Linked DNA regions of Xenopus tropicalis. The main gene of each other region encodes a partner of the protein of the gene in region 3 in a complex. Links are inferred from orthologs where the notes say so. Each region holds a gene or a part of one and is shown on either strand. Other genes may lie near its edges.

Region 1 (4,252 bases), on a different chromosome or scaffold from region 3:
GGCCCCCATACACGGCCCGATTTTTTACTGTCAAACGACCGATTCCCGAACGATCCGATACTATCGTTAAGTTATCGTATAGTTGATGGTGTGCGAACGATCGTCGGCCCACTAATCGACCCGACATTATTGTCCCCAAAATCGATCGGCCAGGTTTAAAAATTTTAGTCGTTTAATGATAAAATCTGCCAGTTGGTGTGAGTGTCAGACATTTGTCTTCGAACGATTGTTCTCTGCGCATGTCATGATTGCCAGCAGCGGAAGTCAACGAACATAAATAAATAAATACCGCTTCCGCCACGACATTGGATCGTACGTAGATGTACGATTGTAAAAATTGCAAATTATCGTTGCCTGTGGATGGCATATCGTATGGAAACCCGGTCGCCATACGATCGTTTGTCGATATAATAGTTCGTCGCACAACGAGTGAAATCGCCTTGTGTATGGGGACCTTAACATCAGAACAGTTATCTGTTTTCCTTCTCAATGTATACTCACTCAGCTGTATGGTTGTAAGAGCTGACCAGTAGGCGGCGCTGTTTATAAGCAGATTAAAAGCTTTAAAAAATAATTGATGTAAAATGCAAATGTGACTAGAAGAGGACACTGACAAATTTATATTAACTTTTTAGGTTTTAGATATACTTTATTCCCCAGTCAATTTATTTGTTAGGGCCCAGGTTTCATACCCATATCAGTTTCTTGGGAAACCTGATTTCCCTGTACTTTGAATTTATGGAATAGTTTTGAAGGCCAAACAGCAACAAAGCTGCCAGTGGAGAGGGAGATTTTATGGGAAGTGATATACAAACAATAAAACCTCCCTTCTCCTCACAGAATACAGAGGGGATTTGGTGTGTTCCCTATGTGCAGCAGCCACAGGTAACCATAATTCTACCTACTGCATAAATACACACATACACCCACACAGAAGCAGAGCTCTGTTATAAACGCACTCTCGCCCACACAGCATCACGGCTGTGATCAGGCCACATTGAAATAGGAACTAAAAAAAAAGACGTTTCCGGTGTGGAGCGCTGAGGCGCTTGTATTAGCACTGCTTGATGTGAGAGCAAGGCAGACAGCATGGATATTTACAGATATGGATAGCTTCAACAGAAATAAATTTAATTGCACGGAACATGTGAATGCTACAACTCCACTCCATCCAAAACTAAACCTCTGTACTGCTTATATGTCAATGAGTAAATCAGGTTTAGTCACGCGTAAACGTACTGCTATTGCCACTCTCCCATAATCCCCTGCAAGGTTAGAAGCGCAGGCATATCGCATCGCCCACCAACTTCATGCGAATAAAGCGTGTAAAACAATGCACTGCGCCTGCGCATACAGCCTACAAGCAAGCCGCTTCTGGGATTGAAGCGCCGCCTCTTCTCTTCCGGTTTTGCCCCAGATAGAAATGGCGGTACCGGCTTCCAACGCTAACAATCCCATCGTATTCTTCGATATCAGTATCGGGGGGCAGGTAACACGCGGTGTTAAGTATAATACATTGAGAAAGCCCTGCATTAAATGATGATTCCATACTTACGTACTGAGAAGAATCTCGCCATGCAACACCACCTACAAACTGCAGCTGAGCAAATGGGGCTGCATGGTGTAGTGTAGTATTAGCAAGAAGGCTAAGTGTGTACTGTGACTGAAGGACAGATTTTTATATTCATAGCAGAAATTATTATGTATTTAAATTGTATTCCACGTGTATGGGCCCCACTGTTCTTTCCGATCTCTAAACCCTAAAACTTTACTGATGGTCCTAAACATGCACTCTAAGCCCTGAGAAAATCCCTAAATATGAACTCTAAAATTCTCATGGCATCCCAATTCATGAACCCTGCCCCCAAGGAAGACTGGGCGTGAACCCCAAAAGAGAGCCCAAAACAAAACTTGTAAAGCCACCAGACGGCTGATCAAACCAATTAGGGGAAAAAAGATCATCTTGGAAAGCTCTGAATATTATCCTTAGAATGTATGGAAAAAAGTCAACATGGAAACTAGACATTTTGGAAAATGTGTCAACATGAGGGCTAATTTGTCCATTCCGTGTCTTTGAAAAAGTTGTTCTTTCAAGCAAACTGTTGCTATACCTATTTATTCTGCATTTATTTAAATTAAAGTTATACAGAATATTAAAAACATTGGGTGGCCTAATTTTGTAAGCTTTTAAAGTTTTGTAATTGCTATATTTTATGCTATTCAACTTCAAATTAGTTTGCTTGTGTGTAACTGTGAAGAAAGGCATATATTCTGGGAAAACATGAAGGGTATGATGACTGTAATACCAATGTGCTAATTGTCTTTTCACAAAAAAAACTAATTTAATGTCCATTTACTTTTTCAGGAGGTGGGCCGGATGAAGGTGGAACTTTTTGCAGATATTGTACCAAAAACTGCAGAGAACTTCAGGTGAAGTTGCATGACTTTTGCTGTCAAAACTCTGGAGTAGTTATATAGCAACACTGACAAAGTTTGCAACTGCCCATAACCCAAAGCAACCAATCAGATGTTTGCTGTCATTATTTTAGTCTCACTAGATCAGTAAGACTAAGGGCTCTGGCACACGGGGAGATTAGTCGCCCGCGGCAAAACTCCCTGTTCGCGGGCGACTAATCTCCCCGAGTTGCCTTCCCCTGCCATCCCACCGGCGAACATGTAAGTCGCCGGCGGGATGGCAGATGCGGCGGCGCGATTTCGCGCAAATCGCTGAAAAAGACTTGCGAGTCTTTTTCGGCGATTTGCCGAAATCGCCTCGCCGCGTCTGCCATCCCACCGCCGGCTTACATTGTCGCCGATGGGATGGCAGGGGAAGGCAACTCGGGGAGATTAGTCGCCCGCGAACAGGGAGTTTTGCCGCGGGCGACTCATCTCCCCATGTGCCAGCTATCTGTCGAGCCTACAAAATAGACAGTACTGATAGGATTGTTTTGCCTTCAATAGGGATTAATTATATCTTAGTTAGAATCAAGTGCAAGGTGCTGTTTTATTATTACAGAGAAAAGGGAAATCACTTTATATCATTTGATTTACTTGATTATAATGGAGTTTATAGAAGATGGCTTTCCCTGTAATTCTGATTTTTCTGGATAATGGACTTCTAAATAATGGTTCCTATACCTGTATTATATCTAGCAAACAGTTTTTAAATAGCTTAAAGCTTTACAATTATACTAATAATATATTATCCACATAGAGTTCCTTTCTGTTTTGTTTCTCTCATCACAACTAAGTTCTTTAATATACAGCCCTCTGCATCTAAAAGAATTTGACAGCACTACTTTACACCCCTTGTTTCTTTTTTTCAAACCATCCAAAGGTCCCTTCCCACAGGCATTAATATTCTCACCAGCAATTTACATCAATGCTGGTTGTAAGGAAACTTTGGGCATTTGTCACCTGCACTGAAGGAGATTTAGTTTTAGTGTTTAGAAGTAAAAGTAAATGGAGGATAAAGTAAATTCATGAATTTCCCATTTCTGATGCTTAAAGCTGATGCCAGAATCAACCCATGTGGCATCAGTCTAAGGGGCTATTTCTGATATCAAAAAGAAGTTGTTGTAGACTAATGCATTATGTGCTATGCAGGAATGCATTGTTGTGCAAACAGATTACGTTAGGTAAAGTATCTGCTAATTGTAAATAATTCTTTATTTCTCATTTCAGGCAATTCTGTACTGGCGAATTTAGGTTTGTATCTGTACTTCTTTTGCCCCGATCGGGGGTTTGATCTAAGTAATGGGAGTAGACTGGAATAAATGTTGAAGCACAATTGTTTCCACAAATCCTCATAGTTAAGTTCTAAGAAACTGGCTTCAGTGCTTCTCTGTTTTCATTCATTGTGTAGCAAATTCTGCAAGAAGCTAAACTGTCCATTGGCTGCTTGGTGGGGGATTATGAATATAATAGCAACAATACTTTTTCTGTAGATCAACTAATACTCAAAATAGTACATTGAAATTAAACGTAATAAGCAATATGGCAGCTTTCCTGACAGGAAAGACAATAACTGTTTTAAAATATTAAATAGTGCACCGCAGATATTTTTAGCACCTGTGCTGTAATACTGACATCTGCTTTAAGGGTAGTAGAATATTTACTGCAGATTGCATTTGCAAATTAGTTCTGAGTTTATTTATACCCTCCATTGACGTTCAGGGCTGAATCATCGGATATAGAGGTAGAAACAATAGCAATTCTACCCCTATCTGATGGTTCAGCCCTTAATGCATGA
Region 2 (4,033 bases), on a different chromosome or scaffold from region 3:
TGCCCCCCTAGTACATTGGTGCCCAGCAGCAGTGCCCCCCTAGTACATTGGTGCCCAGCAGCAGTGCCCCCCTAGTACATTGGTGCCCAGCAGCAGTGCCCCCCTAGTACATTGGTGCCCAGCAGCAGTGCCCCCCTAGTACATTGGTGCCCAGCAGCAGTGCCCCCCTAGTACATTGGTGCCCAGCAGCAGTGCCCCCCTAGTACATTGGTGCCCAGCAGCAGTGCCCCCATAAGTCAGTGTGCCCCGTGGCCCCCCCTAATACATTGGTGCCCAGCAGCATTTTACTCTTCGGCGGCTTCAGCAGCATCTTCCCCTCACGCGCGCCGCCTCTGCACTTCTGCCTACACGCGACCGCACACAGGCCCTTTTATAACGTTGCGCCCCGTGCGTACTGACGTCACCCGTACACACGGGGCGCAACCAATGACAGGGCCCGGATTTTTTTTTTAAAGTAAAAATTGCGGCCCTGCCTACGGCACACCAGGCAACATCTCGCGGCACAAACAGTGGTTGAAAAACGCTGATCTAGAATGCTGAATGGAGTCTATTGCTGATGGTAAATCGGTATTTTATTTTGGTACATTCTAAATTAGTATAACTGAAGCAATAAACAAAAAACTAAGCGTAAGCAGACAAAGGATACTGACAAAATCATCAAAGCCAAGAAGTGTTCCAACAATTTCTTTATCACTCTTCATAACAATATGAATGCGAGATCCTATGCACTTGTCCACAAGCTCTGCAAGATCAGAAATAAAAAAAAAATTAAGAATACACTTTAAAATAAGGCAAAAATAAAGTAAAAATACATGTTAAAATACAAAAAATAATTTTACATTGTGTATATATTAATTAGGTTTGAAAGTAAAACTTGAACAATCAAAGGTTTCTAAATTGTGGTGGTAAATACTTATCGCCTGTCAAATATTTTTTGAACTTCAGACTAAAAGCACATTTTAGTATAAAAATGTATTTGAATGTACTTGGATCTTAAGCTGCATAACTGAAAGGAAAGAGGGCGACTAAACCTAAGTCTGAAAACCACTGATTTAAACCTTCAGGAATAAAAAAAAAAAAAAAGAAAAAAAGCATAGTTTTGTTTGGTAGTTTGCAGTAGAAAGATGTATTTAGCCATTTTTGCCTTAATAAAAATATGTACTTTCGGAAAATATACGGTTTTCGAGGGGCTCCGTATTGTTAGGACGTCTTATGGTACATAATACACATACCGGGTGCTTCTATTGCAGCAGCCAGTATCAGAGATGAACATTTCTATTTCATCTCGGACACTTGGGGGCTGATTTACTAACCCACGAATCCAAATGGGAAAAATTCCGATTGGAAAACGAACATTTTGCAACTTTTTCGTATTTTTTGCGATTTTTTCGTCGCCGTTACGACTTTTTCGTAAATTGTCGCAACTTTTTCGTAGCCGTTACGACTTGCGCAAATTGTCATGACTTTTTCGTAGCCGTTACGATTTGCTCGTATCTTGTCGCGACTTTTTCGTATTGAGCGCTCGTAAACTGCGGGCAAAACTTTCAGACTTAGCATGATTTTGGAAGCCTCCCATAGGACTCTGCAGCTCCAACCTGGCCCAAGAAAAGTCACGATACTGAAGCTTGAATGAATCCGAAACTTTCGTACTCGGCGCGAAGGCTACGAAAAAGTTGTGACAATTCGCGCAAGTCGTAACGCAACGAAAAAGTCACAACAATTTGCGAAACAGTCGTAACGGCTACGAAAAAGTCGCGACAATTTACGAAAAAAATCGCAAAATACAGACCATTACGAAAAAAACGCATTCGGACACTTTCGGACCGTTCGTGGATTAGTAAATCAGCCCCTTGGAGTCATTTAGAGTAGAAAGACACGGTTATCTATTTCGGATTTGGTTGAATGTGCACTTTTAAAAAATATAAATGGTATCCTGGGGTAAACCTAATGTTTCAGGATTTTTGGCTATGGAATCTAAAGTATGCCCTATTCTGCTGTAACACTTTTTTCAATAACTTACTGCTGGGAGTTTTCGATCTATAGAAGTCAGACATCTCCATAAAATTATACATACCTAGTATAGGCACATTCAAGAGATATTAGGCTTTCTGAATAAGTTGAAATTTTATCCATAAAATAAAAGATTTTTCTGGTATAAATCCCTATAATCATATTTTTTTTTTTTTCTTTTATTTGCCTTTAGAGCTCTAAATCTTGTTCCAGAAGTGGAAATACACAAAAACTCAGATTTAGAGCTCAGGTTCTCAAGAAAAGAATGATGTACAGTTTTCCTAGGTAAACTAAAAATCAACTAGAAAATAATTCTGTTCTTTTTTTATCTGCTTACAATTAAAAGGTTCAGTATAAAATATAAATTGTCTAACGCAGGGCTGCCATGCGGCTCCATCATTTGCCCGATAACCTAAAGCACGTCACCTAGCAGGTGCTGTTTAACCCAAGCAACAGTGCTAACTCCAGGTACACTACATCTGTACTTCACAACCCTAGTAAGCCACATACATATCAGAATTCTACAACAAATATGAGTTCAAAGAAAGCATGTCGCATGAAATAGGACAGCGCCATTGAAGATAAAAGCCAATTAGTAACTGCACACTAAAGGTCTCGAACTGGAATAGATCTAGTCACATATTTCCTAGAGTCCTTACCGAGCGGGAGAAGCTGCGACGGATTGGGAGTCACGGTAGCCGCCATCTTTGATATTCCTTACTTCGGATTTCCTCCTGTTTTCGTAATCTCCCGCTGTCACCTACCTAGAGCAATCGATTGCCGATCTCATTATGCAGTCGAGCGCAAGCGCTAAAAACTTCCTGGTTAGGGAAGATTAATCAACAGACGAGCAGAAAAAGGCCTTATATGGCGGAAGAGAGCGAACAGGGGACGTGGGCGTGGCTAGAAGAATGTTTCAAAGCAATGATTGCAAAAGTTGTTGTTGCGCCAGAATAATGAATGTTCAAAAAATCGGCTTGGCTTCATTGCGATTGCTAATTGGCCGGGTATTTTGTCAGATGTAGAATAACCAGCAGCTCTGGACTCTGTACAGCATATTAACCATCCACTTCAACCACTCACGTTTAGGTAAATTAATAGGAGCCCCGATCAATACAGAACAAATTACGGGGGCCCAGGTGCCAACTTAGACGAGTACATTCGAAGTATAGAACTTTTTCAGATGTTTTTGTATGTAGCAGGTGCTCAGCTTGAATCAGCTCTTAGGAGGCATGAAAGTACCTCTGGCCTGTGTTTTGTTTAACTAAAAGGGGAAAGGATTGCAGTCACTTCTGTACCTAAACATTAGCATTTATAGGGGATATACTTTATCCAGAAAATTATATATTTCTGTTTTAATTTTTTGTAGGGTAGTGTTCAATTACAAAACTCATAAATATTGTTTTATCTTAGAGGACAAGAATTTGTAAGCCACCCCTTGATACTGTACTTTAGAGGCATTATGCTGCTTGCCTGCCCTCCAAGGTGTTGAACAACTGCACAGTTTGCTTGGTTCCTGCACATTACATGAGCATAGTGTTGAGGGCCATAGATGATTGATATTAGTCACCTTTTTTTTAACTACTTGTATTTAAACTTTAAAAATTCAGCATGATTCATTCAAAGTCTCTGCTGCTACAAAAAAGTTTAGTTTTTGTAACTGTCATTAAAACTTCTACCTAATTTCAAGATTTCTGCATGTAGAGTGACAGTGTGTCATTTGCTTACTAAAACTCAATGTTTTGAAACCTAACATTCTGAAATTTCCAGAACCAGTTCCCAACTTCCTGCTAAGATCACTTAGAAACCTTCTGTTTACCTAAGCCTTCATTTAGTTTTTCTCAACTGCTGCCTTTTTTAAGCTTTGAGATAAAGAGCAAATAATTATGTCAAGGGCTTACCTGTGGATTGGTAATCACGTGGGTCAAAATATAATGACTGATACAAAAACGTGAGGTAGTAACTTTTGCCATCCAACACCACGTCTGTCGGAAGGGAATGCTGCATGCTGCTCCTGCAGCCA
Region 3 (4,317 bases):
AGGGGTGGAGATATTCACCTTGCTTGGTGATCTGGAAATTTTTCTTGCTGCAAAGAACAACAGCCTGGAGCATCTCATGTGGGGAGACATGAGCCTTAAAATTCCTGGGGTTCCACAGTTTGCGCATTAATTCCCCAAATCTCTGCACAAGCAGGAACATGATATCCCCAGGAGGGCGCTTAATATCACAATAATTCTCTTCCTCCAGAAAGTAATTTCTCAGAGGAGGAACATTGGAGAGAGCCTGGAAGTGACCATAAAGAAATTAGTGTACATTGGCCATGAAATCTGCACTATGGTCTGTGGGAGCAAAAGTGTTTAAAGTGTTTCAGACTGATGAATGTTAGGGCATCCAGTGAAATAGATGAGAGATGATTCTCTGCTGCAGTGAAGGTGAGGTGGTTAACTGTTACACAGGCCCTGTATATTGTGAAAATTCCTACCTGCAAAACAGCATTGGCATAATCATTAGCTTTGATATTGTTAAGTCCCACGATGCCTGGGAGGTAAGTGGTACCATCATATGCTCGAGAAAGCTTGGCCTGTTTGTCTAAGTTACCAATTTGCTGCTTGGTGAAGGTTGGCTTCAGCACATACTGTAGAAGACAAAGAGATAGTTACTAAAAACATGAAAAGCAAAGTTAATATGGGGGGGGGGGGGTGACACAGTTGAACAGACAGAGACAGTATAGAAATAATGTGCACATTTTACAAAGCCCTTTACTTCTGTAAGAACAGCTACCTTTCTCTCTTATGGCCTGAGGCCATCTATGTTCTCAATCCAAGGAGAAACCCAGTCCTTGTTTCCATGTGTAGATTCACACTTATATAAAAAAAAAAAAAAAAAAAAAAAAAAAAAAAAGAACTTTGAAAGACTGTACTGAAGAATGGGGGCCAGCCAAAGGAAGGGGAAAAATGCTAAGGCAACAGGCAGCTAGTGGAGCTAGACATTTCTGCCATCACTGGGCTTATGTTTCCCTGTTACTGACCATAAAATCTGCTTTTTGATGTATGCCCTGCTGTGTGTTGCATGATCAGAGCAGTACAGGTGATCCATGGCTCTTTTGCGGATAATATGCTATTCTACCTTTCCCATCCTAATTGCTGGCTGTGGTTGAACTCACTAAAGGAGACGTATGTGTTGTGATAGACACATCAAGTTAGTGAAGGGATTGTTGCTCTTGAGTATAAGAGTCTAAGAGTATAAGAGTCTTTAACTTACCGACACCTGTGTTATATAAGTCAACAGTGCACTCTAAAAACTCTGGGAACGCCATACCACTTGTACTGGGCACTAAGATTGCACCTTGGGCAAATATGAACTGGGCCATCCTGATTTTTTGTCTTCATATTAGAAAATGCCAAGGTCACATAAACAAATGGGGCAAGAGAGGATGTGCAAGTACCGTAATGTCTTCCAGGGAGGAGTCAATGATATTATAGTTGTCCGGCAGGCAGTAGAACTTCAGTGTGTGCAGATTAAGGAAAACATGGTGACTGAACTGAACACTGTGGATATAGGCATGGGACTTCAAGCCTCGACCTTGGGGGGGGAAAAAAAAAAAAAAAAGAGAAAAATTTGACAAAATAAGGGCTCATCTGAACAACACACTCTGTGCCACTTACTTACCCTGGAAGTATTTCCCGCATACAAGGCAAGCATATGCATTAATGTGAGAAAGAGAGATGGAACACAGCTTCTCAAAATCAAAGTCCAAGACACTCCTGGTAAGAACAGAACCAGTGTTATTTGTGAGCAGTACATAATCAACACAGTCCCAAGCAAAACAACCAGACTGACCTGTTAATGGTATCCAGATATGGGCAATGGCGACTACGTCTGTCTTCAAAGTCATACCGCCCGTGCTTTCCTACAACTGCCAGCATTACATGCACGTGTTATATATATGTTATATGTACAGTTCTGAAGTTAAACATGCACAATTCACCTGTATCACCCACTTAAACTGCTTGGCCTGCAAATCACACTTGGATTGCCAGGAAAACATTATGGAAGAGTGACACTGCCATTACTTGGGCTAAAATCACAGGTAGGGATCAGAGGGTGGCAGCAAATGTGAACCTAGTTTCATACAGAAATTAATGACCTAAATGGTCCAATCAGCCATCCTTGTGTCCAGCTTTAGAGGTACCATGCTGGGACACCATGCACAGACATGGCCGGAGCACTGACAAAACAGGTTTAATGATCCTGTTTTGGGGGGGATTCCATATTTTCTCGGTGGGGGCCCTAGTAATGGTGGGGGCCCCGGTAATGGTGGGGGCCCCGGTAATGGTGGGGGCCCCGGTAATGGTGGGGGCCCCGGTAATGGTGGGGGCCCCGGTAATGGTGGGGGCCCCGGTAATGGTGGGGGCCCTAGTAATGGTGGGGGCCCTTGTAATGGTGGGGGCCCTAGTAATGGTGGGGGCCCTAGTAATGGTGGGGGCCCTGGTAATGGTGGGGGCCCCGGTAATGGTGGGGGCCCCGGTAATGGTGGGGGCCCTAGTAATGGTGGGGGCCCTAGTAATGGTGAGGGCCCTGGAGAAATTCCTTCTCTGACACAGTGACAGACACAAGCGGAGGAAGCACATATTTATTATCCCCCCACGCTAACACATGTGCACCACTCTTTTTCATTCGCTTTTACTCAATCAATCCGTTACACTATTCACACCAAGTCGCATCAATAGAATGAGTTTCCCTCACCTCTCTCATCATCATCATCGTCGTCGTCTTCCTCCTCCATCTCCAGTTTCACCCGCTTCTCAGCGTTCATTCTGCCTCCACCGACTCTCCTGCGTGTCTCGCCTCTCTTTGGACTGAAGCCCCTCCCCCACGCCGCTTCCGTACACTTTCCTATACAACAGGAACGAGTCACGGAACGCTAATGTCAGGGATGCATTGATTGGCTACATTAGCCTTTGTCGAAACAAAAACAGCCAATCGCTATCTCTCCTACAATCGGCTGCGACGGGATAGTTCCTACCAGCGGTAGCTAGGGGGCGGTATTGGGATTGAAAGGGTGCCCGTGTTGGAAGTAGACTAGAGCCGGGAGTATGCAGGAGGAAGTGGAGGTGCAGGGCAAAGCCGGGCCCGGTGGGAGGCTGGATATGAATCACGGCTTCGTTCACCATATCCGGCGGAATCAGATCGCGAGGTAATAGGGCTGGCAGCGGCCGGAACTTTTTCCTTTAAAAAGCAGAAACACTGAGACTGTTCACGTAGTGTTGGCCATGGGGCTGCTTCCATGAAGGTTATACTGGTGCTGTTGGGGCCAATCTATTCATATACCATCCCTGCCATGGCATTGCCTGGTACTTGTGTTCCTAAAGCTGGCAGGACTTCAAATGCACTGAAATATGAACTAGTGTTTCCTTGCTAAATAAATGACAGATTTGCTTCTGAAATTCCAATATTTGTGTAGCCAAACTCCTTTGGGCAGTGGAGGCAGCTGTTCAGTTCCAAAAGGGCTGTCCCATTCATGCTTCTCTAGCGGATTCCTGTTGAGATTTTGAAGTGACCACACCCACTTTTAAAGTCCGCACCTTTTTAAACTTGGATGGGGCTATTTAATAAAAGGCACTAAGTTTTCCCAGGAGCAGCAACTGATGGAACCAGTCAGCAGGTAGAATTTACTGGTCACCTATTGTAAAGCACATATCTTATTGGTTGCTATGGGTTTAGGGTTGCCACGTCTGTCTGTCCGGGTCAAACTCCCTGCCCCATTTTCCAAATGAGGGAAATCGGACAGAACTCCTGGCACCGATCGCCATGTCATAACCCCACCAAATCCCTCAATGTCATAGACCACACCTCCAACATCATCCGCCTCACCCCATGACATCACCGTTCTGCCTCCCACACAGGCATTCCCCAGTCAGAAGATGGCAACCCTATATGGGTTACTGCTCATGGGCAAACTAGGTACCTTTTAGGAACTTTGCAGGAGCCTTGCATGTCAAACTGTCACAGCCATTGGTCTACTAGCATTCTGGGTTGTTTTCAAAATTACTATATACCAGTGTGGGCATGCTCAAAAACAGGGCACTAGCCATTTCCTAACGATTATCACCTGACCCAAGAGTGCACTGGAAGGGCCTAGACTGGTGATTAGTGGTTGGGCATTATAGAACATTTAGTCACCCCTGAGCTGAAATCATGCAGGGGCAAATGTACACAACCTCCTCATGTGCCACCGCCTCTAATGTTTACCTTGTGTAAAGGTGGCCATACTTGGGCAGATTTAAGATGCCGATTGGGGTCTTTCAAAGAGTTTAAGCAGCTTATCTGCCCGTGTATGGGGCCGTCCAGCAAGC

The links. Proteins that work in one complex are often made in the same cells at the same time.
Region 1: usp39 (region 3) and ppih share a complex: the UniProt entries of both Homo sapiens proteins name them as parts of the U4/U6-U5 tri-snRNP complex. The link is inferred for Xenopus tropicalis from reciprocal best matches to the Homo sapiens genes USP39 and PPIH.
Region 2: usp39 (region 3) and lsm5 share a complex: the UniProt entries of both Homo sapiens proteins name them as parts of the U4/U6-U5 tri-snRNP complex. The link is inferred for Xenopus tropicalis from reciprocal best matches to the Homo sapiens genes USP39 and LSM5.

The regions. Positions count from the first base shown.
Region 1 is NC_030683.2:94,758,840-94,763,091, reverse strand, and holds the start of ppih (peptidyl-prolyl cis-trans isomerase H), read left to right. Parts: upstream 1-1,420; 5' UTR 1,421-1,423; coding exon 1,424-1,489; intron 1,490-2,365; coding exon 2,366-2,430; intron 2,431-3,684; coding exon 3,685-3,708; intron 3,709-4,252. UniProt on the Homo sapiens protein: PPIase that catalyzes the cis-trans isomerization of proline imidic peptide bonds in oligopeptides and may therefore assist protein folding. Participates in pre-mRNA splicing.
Region 2 is NC_030682.2:61,893,493-61,897,525, forward strand, and holds the start of lsm5 (U6 snRNA-associated Sm-like protein LSm5), read right to left. Parts: upstream 2,833-4,033; 5' UTR 2,716-2,832; coding exon 2,670-2,715; intron 743-2,669; coding exon 647-742; intron 1-646. UniProt on the Homo sapiens protein: Plays a role in pre-mRNA splicing as component of the U4/U6-U5 tri-snRNP complex that is involved in spliceosome assembly, and as component of the precatalytic spliceosome (spliceosome B complex).
Region 3 is NC_030679.2:125,759,189-125,763,505, reverse strand, and holds the start of usp39 (U4/U6.U5 tri-snRNP-associated protein 2), read right to left. Parts: upstream 2,803-4,317; 5' UTR 2,778-2,802; coding exon 2,708-2,777; intron 1,878-2,707; coding exon 1,802-1,877; intron 1,726-1,801; coding exon 1,631-1,725; intron 1,544-1,630; coding exon 1,407-1,543; intron 597-1,406; coding exon 444-596; intron 245-443; coding exon 19-244; intron 1-18. Other genes in the region: UPF0561 protein C2orf68 homolog, read left to right, coding at 3,058-3,158.